3 linked regions of the Drosophila melanogaster genome follow. The protein of the gene in region 1 interacts with the protein of each later gene in a pairwise test. Each region holds a gene or a part of one and is shown in the gene's direction. Other genes may lie near its edges.

The links.
Region 2: the proteins of CG13032 (region 1) and CG31638 interact in a two-hybrid assay, tested with the Drosophila melanogaster proteins (one large-scale study listed by BioGRID).
Region 3: the proteins of CG13032 (region 1) and CG5280 interact in a two-hybrid assay, tested with the Drosophila melanogaster proteins (one large-scale study listed by BioGRID).

What each region holds. Positions count from the first base shown.
Region 1 is NT_037436.4:16,671,020-16,676,482, forward strand, and holds CG13032 (uncharacterized protein), read left to right. Parts: upstream 1-2,944; 5' UTR 2,945-3,128; coding exon 3,129-4,526; intron 4,527-4,582; coding exon 4,583-4,956; intron 4,957-5,014; coding exon 5,015-5,225; 3' UTR 5,226-5,245; downstream 5,246-5,463. Other genes in the region: zetaCOP (coat protein (coatomer) zeta), read right to left, coding at 776-823, 1,435-1,525, 2,038-2,405, 2,463-2,480.
Region 2 is NT_033779.5:6,488,790-6,494,252, forward strand, and holds the start of CG31638 (uncharacterized protein), read left to right. Parts: upstream 1-2,271; 5' UTR 2,272-2,445; coding exon 2,446-2,586; intron 2,587-2,645; coding exon 2,646-2,716; intron 2,717-2,778; coding exon 2,779-2,818; intron 2,819-2,894; coding exon 2,895-3,415; intron 3,416-3,470; coding exon 3,471-3,674; intron 3,675-3,730; coding exon 3,731-4,067; intron 4,068-4,184; exon of another isoform or gene 4,185-4,271; coding exon of another isoform or gene 4,272-5,065; intron 5,066-5,183; coding exon of another isoform or gene 5,184-5,463. Other genes in the region: epsilonCOP (coat protein (coatomer) epsilon), read left to right, coding at 402-1,322; Phf5a (PHD finger protein 5a), read right to left, coding at 1,427-1,433, 1,499-1,584, 1,650-1,840, 1,917-1,968; CG9547 (uncharacterized protein), read right to left, coding at 4,272-5,065, 5,184-5,463.
Region 3 is NT_037436.4:8,987,445-8,992,544, reverse strand, and holds CG5280 (uncharacterized protein), read left to right. Parts: upstream 1-2,316; 5' UTR 2,317-2,411; coding exon 2,412-2,616; intron 2,617-2,724; coding exon 2,725-3,096; intron 3,097-3,162; coding exon 3,163-3,338; 3' UTR 3,339-3,476; downstream 3,477-5,100. Other genes in the region: smg (smaug), read left to right, coding at 1-464; CG5068 (uncharacterized protein), read right to left, coding at 3,850-4,159, 4,222-4,446, 4,502-4,813.

The sequences.
Region 1 (5,463 bases):
TCGGTGCTTAATCGCTTAATAATTAGCACTGCCTCGTAAAGAGACTTTAATACCCTAGCACTCCCAGTTTTAGGTGCCACTTCAGGCCAAGTTGCTTGGACACCAGCTGGTCACGTGGGTTTACGACATACTTTATCCTCGTATCTGGAGACAAGTGGTTTCGATTTACCCCATCTGCATATGATTGGTGATTGCGCTGTCAGTTGCAACATAATGCCTGCCTGCATTATCTTATTGTAATACTGACCGATCTGCGTTGCGTTGAATGGGTCAGTTCTGGCATTATATGGCTACTTGCGCTACTTCATCGATTAAGCAAAATAAGAATTATTGTGGACTTCAGTAACACCATAAAGTTCTGCGATAAGCCATAGCAGCTCGATAGCAACGAACCTGGGAATACTCTTTAATACATTCAGTATTAGTCTGGAAAGTCTTCAAAGCTTTTATTAGATTTGCCTAAATACAGTCCTTGTTTATTCAGGTGATTTCCCTTATCTAAGAACTCGATTGCATACCACGCACAAAAGATTTATAGTGGCGCAAACGGAACTTGGCAGCTCCAATCGCCCGTCGGTGCCTTTGGCTACTCTATGACACACCGAGTTAGTAGTTTAATGCTAAATTAAAACATGCAGTGCTCTCCAGTTAAATGTATGTATTATTATATGCTTTACAACTAGGCGAAAACAAGTGGGCGCTAAAAGAAGAATCGAATGTATTGCGACAACGCGGCACGGAAGTGGCTTCCTCTCTTCCGCCACCCCATTTCACATCACTTCAGAATGGACCATTTGAGTTGTTCACGTGCCGATTGCAGAACCTAAAAGATAGATAGCACACACATATATAGATACAGATACTCGGCAATAATTTCGATCAATTAGCTAATGAAACAAATCAAAATGAGCGCGAAGTTCCAGAACATTTTCACCAATTTTATTTTGAACATTCTCGGAGTACAATGAATGGGGCGATATGGGGAAAAGTAATCGAAATTCGGTAACATGTACAAAAGGTAAAAAGAAATTTACGCCGACACAACTACTTTAAATTGTAATAAGTAATATTATCTGGAAGCATTCATTAAAATAGGTACAATTTTACAACATTTAAACACTTTTGTTGAAACTGAAAATAGATCGTAATTAAACAAAAATGCGAATAACAAATAAATCTAGGCAAATGTGTAAAGCTTGTAAACTTATATTAACTCAGTTACTAACTACATATAGTCTTGAAAAACAAAGAGCCTAATTATTTGTTCATAGGGCGGGTAAAACTAAATGAGAATATATTTGACTGCAGGGTATCAAATTGCGAAACGAAACCAGACAAAATTAAAGTACAAACGGCTACCATTGAGTTATAAACACTTAGAAGAGCTACCAAGTAGTTAGACTACCAAAATAGACCATTAAGGGTGTTAGTTACCTGGGCAACGGTCTGTTCGGCAATGGGAATGTCATCGTTGCGCAGATCAACGCGTTTCACCACCGACGAGGGATCCGCATCCAGAATAATGCTATTTGGAAAACGGGTAAAGGTTTAAATAGAATATTTGTATTTAATAATATGTAATGCATAATATACAGTGATGAATGGCAAAGTATATCTTTTTGTACCTCAGGTGATTTCTAAAGCTCAGCCTATAAACTTAAAAACTTATACGAGCTGCATGCCTAGGATGCCAGTGCTCGTATGTATTAGTTTAATCTTTAAGTTTAATATATTTTAATATTTAGTTTGATTTATATAATTAAACTTTTGTACCTATACCCTAACATCGCAGTTATCATATAACTTTTCATTGGACTTGACTAGGTTTTGTTAAAAAAAAGGAAGCTTTAAATGCGGTTAACTACTTAGAGGCTTCACTTGAGCTGGCCTAACTCATAGACTAGTAAATAACAATGTTATTTATGGGAACTTGTGTAGTAATAATTTGATGTTTTCTAAACGAACTGCTGCTAATGAAAGCTGCTTTAACTTGGTCCCTTGTTCTTTCCATCCATCACTGTATACGCTAATACACACCCTCCGTCGCAGATCTCGTCAAATGCCAGCATGATGATCTCCAGGTTTTCCAGCACCAGGCGCTTCTCAACGTTCTTCTTGAGGATCAGGCTAATGGAATCGTAGAGGCAGTTGAGCACGGACAGCAGGATGAGCTCGTTCTCGTAGGCGTTGCCCATCACGTAGAAGAAGAGGTCCACGTTGCTCTTGTACACGCAGGTGAGTCCGTCCAGCATAATGATCTCCGTGTTGGAGCGGTGCGTCTTATTGAACAGATTCTTTTCGAAGGCCTTCTGCTCCTTCAACGTGGACAGGATGTTCTTGTCGTAGTACTTGGCCAGGATGCGGTTGCCATCGTTGTCCATGATGCACATGCCCTTGATGATATCCTGCAGCACATGTTGGGTTTGATTTTAAGCCAGTTACTTGTGTATTTTGCAATTTACCATCATAAATCCGTCCATCTTCACTTGTTTTCGTGTCTTACACGTCACTTTAGTATGACCATATTGCGACCGCTAAATTATACCAACTAAACAGTACTGCCAACTCGAGTCACAAAATAAATAGCTAGATACAGTTAAAACTATCTAGAAAAACTGTTAAAATTTTTGAATTTTAGCTAAGCCGTTATCGTTGTTTTATTATTATATTTTAAATTATAATTTGAAACACATGGGGGGCTGGCTTGCTTGACGTTGGCCGTACTTTGCTGGGGTATTTAAAATAAAATAATGTAAATGTAAAAAAAGAATAACGGTTTAAATGTAAATTATCCTGTCTTAAATAAAACAACAGTTTGGAAAGATCAAGAAAAGAATTGTCAATGTCAATTTTATTATTGCAGAAACTCTGTTTATTTTTAACTTACCTATTATTGAAGAAATCCTGATTATGACAAGAGTTCCAAATTTAAAAATTGCCTTGCCTTTGATTTGTCTGTTTCAAATGAGGTTTAAATTTGAATAACCTAGAAACAACTGATGACAACCAAAATTTGTGAATATTTTAGTAACAAGAACAGGCACACGTACAAATTATTTTCGCCCAGCCAACGAAATTGTTAGATTCAATTGTGTATATTTTTATGTGAACAACTAGAGGGCATTGCGATGGAGACTTTGCCGGAAGAGTATGTAGCCCATCGGGATCAGGAGCTGTTGGGGTGCAAAGTGGGCCGTTCCTCTCGACGTCGGCATGACCATGATGCCATGGCCGCTGCCCATGTGGTGCTGACCACCGCTGTGGTAAAACCAAAGCCAACAAAGCCGGAGTCCAAAAAGCTGCGCAAAAAGCTATCCGAATGCGAGCAGGAGAAGCAGTCACTGGCCCAGGCCATTCATGAGAAGAATCAGGAGATATCCGACCTGAAGAAATCGGTTGATTCGCTCAACGAGGTGCTCAACTCCGTGCCCATTGATGAGCTGCGCTGCAACTCCTCCATTGCCAGCACCAAAATCCTGGAACTGAGCAAGAAGAACCGCCAGATGCGTTCCGAATTGGAGCAGGCAAAGAGTCGGCTGGGTAAAAAGGATGCTCAGATCGAGAAGCTGGAGAAGGAGCTGCGTGCGCACGAGGAGAAGCTGCAGCATAATCAGGATCTGCCAAAAAAGGGCTGCTCCCCCGATGAGCTCCAAGCCAAGATCAACAGTATGCAGCAGAAGCTCTTCGAAACGCGAAACAGGAACACCGAGCTACAAAGCCAACTGAAACTGGCCCAAAAGTGCCTGCAGCACGAGATCGGTGAGAGCTGCAACATCAACATCCTGGCCAACAATCTTAATCAGGCCAATTGGCGCGGTCGTGCTCAGCAGATCATCGCGCTCAACCAGAAAGTGCACGAGCTCAAGGCTCGCTTGGATTTCTACGAGGACCGAGCCGTAGATCGAGCCGAATATGCTGCCCCAGTGCCGTTGGGTTCGGATCTGGAGTTGGTAACCGGCAGCTGTCGATCACATCATGCCAGCTCTGAGAGATTAGGTGGAGGCGATGGCGGCGGAGCCACAACGGCCAGCTTCGATCGCTTTACACCGGGTGTGCGTAAAAGTGAGATTCTTCATCGAGCCAAGGTGGAGGCTCTGGAAAAGGAGATTCTTAGCCTGCAAAACCAACTGGAGGATCAACGCAGCAAGACACTCGCCCTAAAGGTGAGGAACAAGAATCTGAACGAGGAGATGAACAAGTACAAGATTCTATACAATGAGCTGGAGGAGCAGACCGACTTCAATGGCACCAATATCAATACCATGAATGACAAACTGAACCAGCAGAGGATTCAGTACGAGAACCGTTTGGACGACATGCGCGGCGAGCTGGTCCGGGTGACCGAGGAGCGAGATCTTTCGCGCCGGCAAATGGAAGAGCTGAGCGGTATGCATCTGGAGCTGCAGACGGTGGTCAAGCAGAAGGATGTGGCCATGGCCAGTCTGCAGGATATGATCAAGAAGCTGGAAATGGACCTGCGCGCCCTATCCGGCGGATTCCTCTTCTCCTGCCGCGAGTTTCGAAAGGTAAAACTCTGTACACTAAAACATAAGCTATTAATTTGCTTAATTATATTCCGCAGGAGGAATTTGTGGGCATCCTGGATGCTCTAGAGGTGGAGAAAAATCAGCTTATGTTGCTCACCAAAACTCTAGGAGATCGTCTGGAGACGGAGAGAGCCAAGAACGAAGCAGCTCAGGAGCAGATTGGCAAGTTAAAGGCCCGTATCAGCCGACTGGAGGTCAAGATCAGGGACCTGGAGAAGGAACTCGATGTGCAGTCCGATAAGAAGAAACGCACCCAGCGAATGGCCGACTACGCCAGTTCGCTGAGTCGCACTTCTCTTAACGGATCGATTGGTTCCTTCTGCTTCGAAAATCAGTCCCAGTACCAGTCCACAAATACGCTGAATTCGGCAGGACAGCCTGAGCCCAGAATAGAGGATCTAAAGAATAAGTAAGTTCGGACACGGCAATCCCATCGCTTAATCAACTATAACTACTTATATTTTCAGTCTTGAACTGGCCAAGGAAAAAATCACAATGCTGACAGAGAAGCTGGAGTATATCACCGAGGAGAAGAACGCAGATGCCAAATTTTTCGAGGACACCATCAACAGTACGAAGACCATTATCCTTGAAACTGTACTTGGAGCTCGCGAAAAGGGATTGAGCGATCGTAGCAAAAATGCAGATAAAAGCACGAGCGAGACTTCCATTCAATAATGAAGATGAACAAAACCACGATTTTTATTTTGATTAGTTTTTATGTTCTTTGCAATGCTAAAAAAACTGGACGAGAAGTCATGCCATATACATATTTATATGTAACTGGAATGTTATTAAACTTGCATGGCATTGCAATGCACATCATTGATTCTGAAGTACCGAAAACAATGAGTTTTAAATTTTCATAAATTTTTATTTGATTTGTAACACGTTCACAAAACGAAGCCTTTGGCGC
Region 2 (5,463 bases), on another chromosome or scaffold:
CAGGAGATGGTGTTTTGCAACACTAATCCCAGGGTCTAAATGATTAAGTGAACTTATTTTTAGAGATTTCAAATCAGTTATCAAGATTAAATCTTAAGAACAAAACCTTACATTTTTGCAATTTTACTACGTTTTTACTATATAAAAAGGGATGTAAAAAATTCTTGAGGCTAAAAAAGAGTTTAAAAATAAAAAAACTATTGAAAAACAACATTTTTAGCAAAAAAGAGCGTTGCCAGATGCAATATGTGAAATTATATGCAATGGTCACTCTGTGACAACTCGACGATAACAACGTATCTGGTATCGATGTACGATAGGCACCGATAAGTTTACACAAATAAGCCAACTCAGCCGAAAAGAATTCGGTTTTTCCATCTAATTCAATAATATTTACGAAAATGAGCCGACAGCAGAATGAGGAGGACACCAACTCGGTGCTATTCGATGCCCGCAACGAGTACTACATCGGTAACTTCATGGGCTCGATCAACTTCGTGCTGCCGGAGCAGGGTACCGCGGGTCCGGAGCTCCTGTCCTACATGTACCTATCTTACTTGGCCATCGATTCCGGGCGCATCGTGGCCTCGGACATCAAGGAGGGAAACTCCACGCCACTGCAGGCCTTGCGTCTGGTGCACGAAGCCTTTGAGCAGCCTTCGAGGACGGAGGAGCTGCTGGAGAAACTCACGGACAAGGTGGCCGGAGAGGAGGATGAGACCAACATCTGGCACCTTGCAACCGCCATCGTCTACTGCCACGACGGGCAGTTCGAGAACGCACTGAAGATCCTGCACGGCTCCACCAATCTGGAGTCGATGGCTCTGTCGGTCCAGTGCCTGCTGCGTCTGCAGCGCGTGGACCTGGCCAAGCAGCTGGTGGCCAAGATGCAGGAGATCAGCGACGATGCTACGCTGACTCAGCTCGCTCAGGCGTGGGTGGCCCTCGCCCAGGGAACGGAACAGATGCAGGACGCCTTTCACATCTACCAGGAGTTCTGTGAAAAGTTCAAGCCAACTCCGGCGCTGCTGAACGGCCAAGCGGTCGTTCATTTGGGTCTGGAGCGGTACGAGGAGGCAGATTCCGTTCTGCGTGAATCTCTGCTGAAGAAGCACAACGACTACGACACGCTGATCAATCTGATGGTTCATGCCCATCTTACGGGCAAGCCGACAGAGGCGATCACCCGGAATCTAGAACAGCTGAGGCAGTTCTATCCCAAGAGCGACTTTGTCACCGATCTAGACAAGAAGTCAGCGGAGTTCGACCGCCTGTGCCTGCAGTACGACGTCGAGGGCGGTGAAAAACTGCTCGCCGTCTAGATATAAGAAAAAATTCCAAATATCCAAATTAACAAAACCTTTTGTTCATGTATTAAACTACAATAAAAATTTATTAGAAATGTATTGAGGTAGCGGAGAGCAGATTAATAGCTGTAAAGATAATACAAAGTATTAGGGTGGATTTTTTATGTTTGACTGCTGTGCTGGGTACTCACTTCTGTTTGAAGCCATATTTCTTGCGTTCGTAGAACAGGTCAGTCTTGGAGCTGCCTAGATTTACAATCTTGGGGCATCCGTCGCGCTATAAGAACCAAAATGGACAATAATACCACAGAATGCACCAGAATGCATGACTTGCGAACTCACGTCCTTTTCCTGAATGGTGCAGGACTTGCAGTAGTAGGCATCCGACACTCCGGGTCCTCCACAGATGACGCACCTGCCCTGGTAGGATCCGTAGTTGCACTCGTCGCAGATCCGCACCAGTGTGCATGGCCGCACGTAGGAGTCGCAGATCACACACTTTCCATCGTCTTTTTCACACAGGCGTCCAATGGCTGCCGCATGAGATGGCGAGAGATTTCGAATTATTGGATTGTCTGGGATTTTCAACGGGTTTTTTTGAGAACTCACCCACGCCGGGCTGCTTGCGGCAGAAAATCAAATCCGGATGATGTTTGGCCATGATTTAATATTAGTTTTCAGTCAGCAAATATAAAAACAGTTGCTGAAAAAGCGGCGACTTCTTTATAGTGTGACCTTTACACACTCTCGCTTTCAGGGTTGCCAAGTGGTCAGCATTATCATGTAGGGCATTCATTAAACTCTATGATGGCTTGAATAAAGAAAAAATTAATTTTTTTTTAAAAATATTATTTACCACATTTGATAATACAATATAGATACAAATAATATTTTTTAACAATTAACTGAAATTAAATAACTTTCAAAAGCAACTGGCAGCCCTACACCATGCAGTTTGGCCATTCACAGCGACTAGTAAACAACAACAGCTGTTCGCATTCTCGAATTTTATTTTCTGTATTCGCATTAAGCTTTGGTCCAAAATATTGCAAAAACACTCCCACGATGCAACAGATCAGCTAGGTAGTTGTGTGGTACTTAGGGCAGCAAGCAGGACTTGAGAAAGGACACCAGCAAAATGTCGCAGACAGCATCCACAACGCAAAGTGTAACCGCTGCACCGGCGGGTGGCAGCAGACGCAATGAAGTGGGCGGCGTGGGCGTCATCGGGACCACCATGTCGGCTAGATATGGAGAAACAGAATGGGAGGCTCGGGAGGTGCGTATCGGAGTGTGATGCTTTATATCATTTCCCATAAACTCCCATTTTCTATTCAGTCCCAGCGGCAGAGGGAACTGCACGAAGCTCGAGCACGGGCGGCGCAGATGGAGAAAACCATGAAGTGGTGGTAAGTGGAGCAGCTCGTCGTGCTCAAAACTATCTGCTAATCCAAACATCAACCATTCCCAGGTCCGACTGCACTGCCAACTGGCGGGAGAAGTGGAGTAAGGTAATTTGGTTGCCATGGCTTTAAAGTTGGGTCAATATCGCCGGTATCCAATAACAAAACTTTTCACTTTTCGCAGGTCCGCAACGAGCGGAATAAGGCCAGAGAGGAGTCCAAGCAGCTGAGCCTCAAACTGGACGGCGTCATGAAGGAGGCCCACTCGCTGAAGCGGGAGAAGAACGATCTCGAGTTGCAGATCACGCAGCTAAAGAAGGAGATGGAGAAAGTGCACACGCTGATGATGAAGCACGCCGGTCAGTTCCATCGAGCCGACACCAGCGAGGATGCGGAGGCCAACGGACGGGATGCCAACTGCTCGCCGGATATCTCCTCGGATGGCTTAAAGAATATCAATAGCGAGGACGGCTTGGTTACCAAGCTGCCCAATGATGTCAAGGATCTAGACATTGAGGAGTTCGCTATGAAGGGGGCTATGCCCAAACATCTGACCGAGTTGGACGAAGCGGCGGCTGCCGAGGAGAAGCGCCTGATTCAGCAATTGTCAAAGGATGACTTTGACGAAGACTACTTGCTGCAAAAGATATCCATGCTGCAATTGCGCCTCGACGAGGCTCAGAAAACTCTTCAAGCGGAAAGGGAGTGAGTAATCTCTATTCCAATAATAATACTTTAATTATTTCTATTATTTTCGCAGCGAAAAGCTGGAGCTGCACAAGAGCATTGAGAAACTGACGCTGGAGATCCAGGACGTGCGCGGACGTCAAGAGGAGATGCGCTCGGCCAAGCAGGAGGCAGTGCGTGAACTATTAACTCTTCAAGAACAACATCGTGCTGAGATGCGTATCGTGAATAACTCGCTGCAGGAGGAGATTGCTGCCCGTGAGAATCTCGAGCGCCGGTAAGCAAATACGCATTCTGTACTTTGACAAGAGTGTAACTATCGATTCATTGCAGCCTCACGGAGCTTCGCACTGAACTGGAGCACCTTCAGGCGGAGAACGCCTCCGAATGGGGCAAGCGCGAGCGACTGGAGTCCGAGAAATTGGCCATGGAGCGTGACAACAAGAAACTGCGCGCAGAACTGCGAGATTATCAGGAACGTTCGGACCGTAAGTGCCGACCCATGCAAGCTAATGACGTGGAGCTGCGAGCATTGCAGCAGGAACTTTCGGAGCGCAACAAGGAGATCAGCGAGGTGAAGATGTCGCACGCCAAGCTAAAGAAGTTGCTGGCCGAAACAAACACAGAGCTGGGACACGCCGTGCGGCGAGCCGAGCAGTATGAGGCGGAGGTGAGTAAATCCACATCCAAAAATCTTATCAGATGATATATGGATCAGATTACGCGTATCAGCTTATCAGCCTAGGAAAACTTAAAGATGTAACAGCCTTCCTCGCCGAACCGAATTCGGTTTGATTAACATTTATTCACATTGACACTTCGACATAAAACAAATTGGTAAATGCAGTACTTTATGATTTTCGAAACAAGTACATTAGTTAGCAAATGCCGCCAGTCCGGTGATGGCTCGGCCCAGGATCAACGCGTGTATATCGTGCGTGCCCTCATAGGTGTTAACTGACTCCAGGTTGATTACATGGCGGATCACATGATATTCGTCGCTGATTCCGTTTGCACCCAGCATGTCCCTCATTTGGCGCGCTATATCAAGCGATTTGCCAGTATTGTTTCGCTTTAGAAGGGAAATCATGTCGGGCGTGTGCAGCTTCTGATCCTTGAGGCGACCCACATGCAGGCAAGCCTGCAGACCCAACGCAATCTCTGTGATGGCATCGGCCAGCTTCTTTTGGATCAACTGATTTGCAGCCAAAGGACGACCGAATTGTTTGCGATCCAGTGTATACTGGCGAGCAATCTCCACGCAGGTTTCAGCTGCTCCCAGGGCTCCCCACGCGATTCCATAGCGAGCGTTGTTCAGACAGCTGAAGGGTCCACTAAAGCCGGCCACATTGGGTAGCAACTGCTCCTCTGGCACACGGACCTCGTCCATCAGGATCATACCCGTGGGCGAAGCACGCAGAGAGAACTTGCCCTCGATCTTTGGCGTCTCCAAACCCTTGCCGGATATCTTGCGATCCACCAGGAAGCCGCGTACCTTGCCATCCTCGCATTTTGCCCATACGACTATGACGTCTGCGATGGGCGCACTAGTAATCCACGTCTTAGATCCGTTCAGGATGTATGTCTTGCTTTTGCTATCGTACTTGGCACGGGTCTCCATGCCAGCGGGGTCACTACCGTGGTTGGGTTCAGTTAGGCCAAAGGCACCTGAATAAATATGTAAAGAAATTGAGATTCGTTTAAAGAGAACACATATAAACTACGGGACTTTATATAATTCACTCAATATTTCATTAAAATATGATTTTATTCATTTGGCACTCACCAATCAGCTTGCCCTCCGCCATGCTGGGCAAATAGCGTTGCTTCTGCTCCTCGGATCCAAAGTCGTAGATGGCGCCCATGGCCAGCGAGCTCTGGACACTGACAGCAGACCGATAAGCGGAGTCCACGCGCTCCACCTCGCGGGTGAGCAAGCCGTAGGCAACGCTAGAGACTCCGGCGCAGCCGTATCCCTTAATGGTGCAGCCGAGGACACCCAGACTGCCGATCTCCTCCATAATTTTCTTGTCGAACGTCTCCAGGCGATTGGCCATCTTGACGCG
Region 3 (5,100 bases), 7.7 Mb from region 1:
AGTCGCAGCAGCAGCAGCAGCAGAGAAAACTTAGCGGAGGAGTGTCCAGTGCGGAGCAACAACCAAAGAAGACCATGGCCGCTGTTGTGATGGTTAGTAATCCAAACCAGAATCAGGACCAGCACGATCAGCCCCAGATCCTGATCAACAACAATAATAACAACAGCATGCTGAACAACAATTTGATTAACCAGCAACAGTTGCAACTTTTGGCAGCAGCTGCTGCCGCCGTGGGCAGTGGCAGCTGTCTGTGCTCCAATGGTGGTGGTGGTGCCTGTGTCCACAATATCTGTCACCAAAGCAGCAAGAACAACAATCATGGCGTAGACCATTGCCTGTCCCAGTCACCGTTGGGCAGCCTGGGCATGTCGCCCCACGTCACCGAGTACAAGATGAACGACTTTAAGAGCCTAGAACAGCTGGAGACGTTGTGTCGCCAAATGACTGAACAGGCAATGAACTGAGCAAGATTCAGGGCTATCTGGGTTTTGAAATCATCATGTAATGGCGTTAGATTTGAGGCTGCCAGCTGTTTTTGTGTTCATTTAGCTTTGAGCCGTGTTTGATGTTTGATTTCATAACGAACATAAATGTTTTTATATTTAGATATTTAAGATTCGTGTCTATTTTTGTGTCGCGTCAAGTTGTCCACCCTGCGTCTCCTTTCACATCCCGTTCTGTAATCGTTTTTAGTTAGTAAGACGATAGTTTGTTTTAATGTTAAGTTTATTAACTGTATGCCAAGGCGCCCCCAAAGATATGATCAATTGACTCGGGCTCGCAGGACCAACGGCTGGCCGATGAACTTGTGGAGCCCATGCTGCACTCCCCGACGGTAATCCCATGTCGGTTGTCAGCGGGGGCGTGGCATCTTACTGTCAATGTTATTAATGTATAGGTTTCGTAAATGTTGTCGCCATTTATGTAGTTAAACTAACAAGCCAAGCCCCACAACACACACACACACAGATCGCAACAACAGAATACAGTAACTTCTCTCTACCTAGGAAAATTTGGCCAAATTTGATCAACATTTTACGCTATTCTAAACCCCAATCACAACATCAACTATTTCATTCACTATCAACAACGTCGCCAAATGAAAGAAATACCCCGATCTGAACGACGACGAAAAATGGTTTATCTAGTAAAAAATTATAAAATGAACTCTGCATCGTGACCATGAGACTGACTAAGATTACTTTTCGCAACTATAAAAACTAGAAGGAAGAAAGCTGGATGGAGAGGGAATTGAAAAGTGAGAATTGAGAAACGAGAGCTGATAATTGTTTGCGCGAATCAAAACTAGGCTTGCTGAATGAAGTAGTAGTCACATAATGAATATGTTTATATATACACGTACACATAATTTATTTTAAATTAAAAGGAACATATTTGCTGAACCGTAACTGCACCAGAGGAAATCGCAACGGCGGAAACTACCACTAGACTAAACTTTAACAGAAAAGAGTTTCAATGTTTCACTGTTTGTGTTTGAGAATCGGAACCACATATTGTATTTTGCATATTTAAGCGTAAGCCAAATCCATGTATTGCATACCGATCATGATCACCATTGTCATTGATTAGATTATCTCTACTATTACTATTATGTTTGCTTTAGTCAATTGTTTATAATGTAAATGGCAAGCCAATCACTCGATATGTTATGTTTTAGTTGTTTTTTTAAAAATTATATATATTTATATATACAAATGTATGTCGCTAAGCTTAGGTTCAAACAAAAAACGACGATGGGCCAAGCTGGAAAAAAGAAGGCAGCCAAAAAATATTTACCTTAAGAGCGTAAAAACGTGTAGTCTAATTGTAAATGTATAAAAACGAACAAATGCATGTGTAAAAATCTTGGTTGGAAATGTTTTTGTTTTCTAATTTCTCGTCGATATTTCCAAGATTTGTTTGTTTACAACAACCGCAACACTGTAAATCGCAGATGCTTTTATTTAATAATAAAAACCTATTGTACGGCCAGTTGGGATACAAAGATAATCGAAACCTAATTGTCAAACTTTAGCGAGTTCAAAACGATCCACAAACTAAATGGTTTATTGTAAAAGTGCAACTACTCGTAGACGAATGTGCATAAGTCAGTTAAATGTTCGCAAAATTATCATAATGCGAGCATAAACCAAGCGTGTACCTACCCACACATATACACACATACAATACCTACATATATTTATTTTCAATAAATTATTTCGAGATTTAAAAATACCCATGCTGTTTACCTAACAACCCAGGTTGCCATGCGTCTCCACTTTTGTTGTCCGGCGAAAAACAACTTCATACCGAGGCTAGCCTTCAAACACACCAAACGAAATTATCGAAGCGATTTTCTATAGTATATACAAGCCTTACTTTTCCGGAGCAAAAATTATTAGCTTTACAGAATGAGCCGACATCGCTTCAACAACGTGCAGATCAAGGCATTGCCCGGTGGTCTGATGGCCCACCACGAACCGGATGCGGATGGCGGACAGCCCGGTTCGCAGAAGCTGCCCATGTGGCCCAGTGAACGCATTCCTCCTGGCGGTGCTGGAGCCTTCCACTCGGCCAAGGTGCAATATAGCAAGGAGACAGCTGATCTGATCCGATGTAAGTGCGTTTTGGGCATGCCAAATATCTAAGGAATAAGAGGATAAGAGGACCATCCATAAAGATAATCGTGTACATTTTCCGCTTCGTTATAACCTCCCTTGTTAGTGCTTGTCAAGGAGTCCAAGATGTCGATGTTGGTACGCAAGCAGATCGATGAGAGCCTGCGCAATGGGGAGCCATTGCCATTGCCCGAACCGCCGCGTCCCAATACCAACAACGATCCGGACAAGGAAACACTGGCCATTTTGGATCGGGCACGCAATGCCAAGCGTAAGAATCTGCGGCAGATCGAGGCGAGCGGAGCTTACAAGCAGAGCTATTACCGCCCGCCCGCCGACAACCGAATGCATGGAGAGAAGGCCAAGTCGCAGCTGCAGTTCACCATGGCCGGCACTCATTTGCCCGATCCGGCGATCAAGCCGCGACGTCGTCCTCGCGAAGAGCAACTGGTGACGGAGGAGGATCTCATAAACGAGCGTAAGTTGGAATATTTCTTAAGCGGAATAAAGCGGAATTATACATTGAGTTGGCATGCTCCTACAGTTTTGGACCAAATCAACGAGCGTGCTGAGTGGTTGACGGAAATGGAGTCCATGGGCCAGGGTAAGAAGTATCGTCCAGAGATTCGAGATCAGATTGCCGAACGTCTGCGTCGCATTCAGGCGCTGGAGTCCAAGATGAAGATGAAGTCCAATGGCGGCTTCCGTTTCGTGGACTAAATGTGTTATCCTGTTTTTAAAGTTTCATGATTTCATGATTGAGACGACGAGTAAACCAAATAAATAAATTCCAAGATTCATTTGAATTTAATGGGAATTTATGGTAACACTCGATTAATAAATAGCTTTATTCAACTTATTCGCATTCGTATAATTTGGATTTCGTTAAATTTTCATTTGATCTGGCACATATTTAATACACACTCATTATAACAATGCAAGAAGCCCAAACGCAAGCACTTTAGACCTTAGATTTTTGGCAAAATGAGTATAAAGTACAATGTTGAAAATTCAAGTGGTTTAATTAAAAGTACCGAATAAATTACTGGATTATTAGTTTATGTGTATATAGAATATACGGCTGTATATATCTGGACCTACGCACTACATTTTGTATATATATATATATATGCACGCATCTGTAAGTTCAAAGAGTAATGCACCTCCATTCAAAAATAGACTTTTGTGACCTCAGTTTGTGCTCAACCTCGGATTCAGGGGGTGGTTGTGTTTAGCACGACGGCATGTGGCAACGAAATTCGCTGGCTGCTTCTGCAAACCGATTCCGGATCAAGTAGCCGCTAATCACCTCAGCCACCTCGTGTGGACGGTCCTCGTGCACGGCGTGACCGCAGCGGGCCAAGACCTGCATCTGGAAGCGACCCTGCATCTGGCCAACAGTCAGGGTGCGGTCCAGTCCATCGATGCTGGCGAGGAGTAGTTGCTTGGGCAGGCGCAAGTTAAGGAACTTATCGCTCAGCCCCGAAAACCAGCCCACCCAGTACTTCTCCGACTTGGACAGATCAATGCGCCAGGTGTAACTGAGAAGCAATCAATGAATAATTTGTGTTTTAACTAAAATAAAATAAATTGGACTACGTACTTTTTGGCCGCTTCGGTTGTCGATTTGGTCGTGTTGGGCTTCTTGAAATCCGCGCCAGCTGCGGCACTTTCTGAGGAGCCATCGGCGGCGTCATCGCCCGGCGGTGACGATTCTTCATCCTCCGAAATGCTAAACGGATTGGGAAACATACTGTTGTGGTGGGCCTCCTCCAATACATCATCTGGTAATGGCAGATCATTCGTTGCCAGTTTGTTCGTTGTACAACTGCGTGGGATTGATTTATTATTACTTTTCTGTCGTTTACGACAATCCTACTCACTTTATTATCTGTCCCGGCATGGACACTTTGGCGCTGTCCACATTGCGCACTTGGCCGCTTCGGATGCACCACTCGATAGCATTCGGAATACTCTGGAAATACTTTGGACGGGAGCGCAGAAAGCTCTGCATGCTGGCTAGTGCCTCCATGGCTGTGCCCTCCACAACATCGATGACGGTTATTCCAATCAAATTGGGCACCAGAGCCATGTGGGCAAAGTGGACGGCGATGGCGCCGCCCATCGAGTGGCCAACCACAAAAAGCTGCGGCACTTCTTCAGGATAGAGCTTCAGGATTAAGTCACCGATGTCCCTGTTTAGAATATTTTAAACATTATTATAGATTATAGATTAGATTATTATGGTTTTTAGCTTCAACCGTGAATAAAGTAACTATAAAAAACTAAATAATATTTACAAATGAGTGATCGTTCAAATAGATCGACCTACTTTAAGTGCAGTGCGCTATTTTTATAAATAAAGAGATTATGCAAGTTTAGCCTAATCGTTCATAAAGCTAAGAGTTAATGCGAGAAGTTTTACTCGACAAAATCTTAAAAATATTGGTTTTTAATGTAAGCAGTAGAAAAATTTGCATAA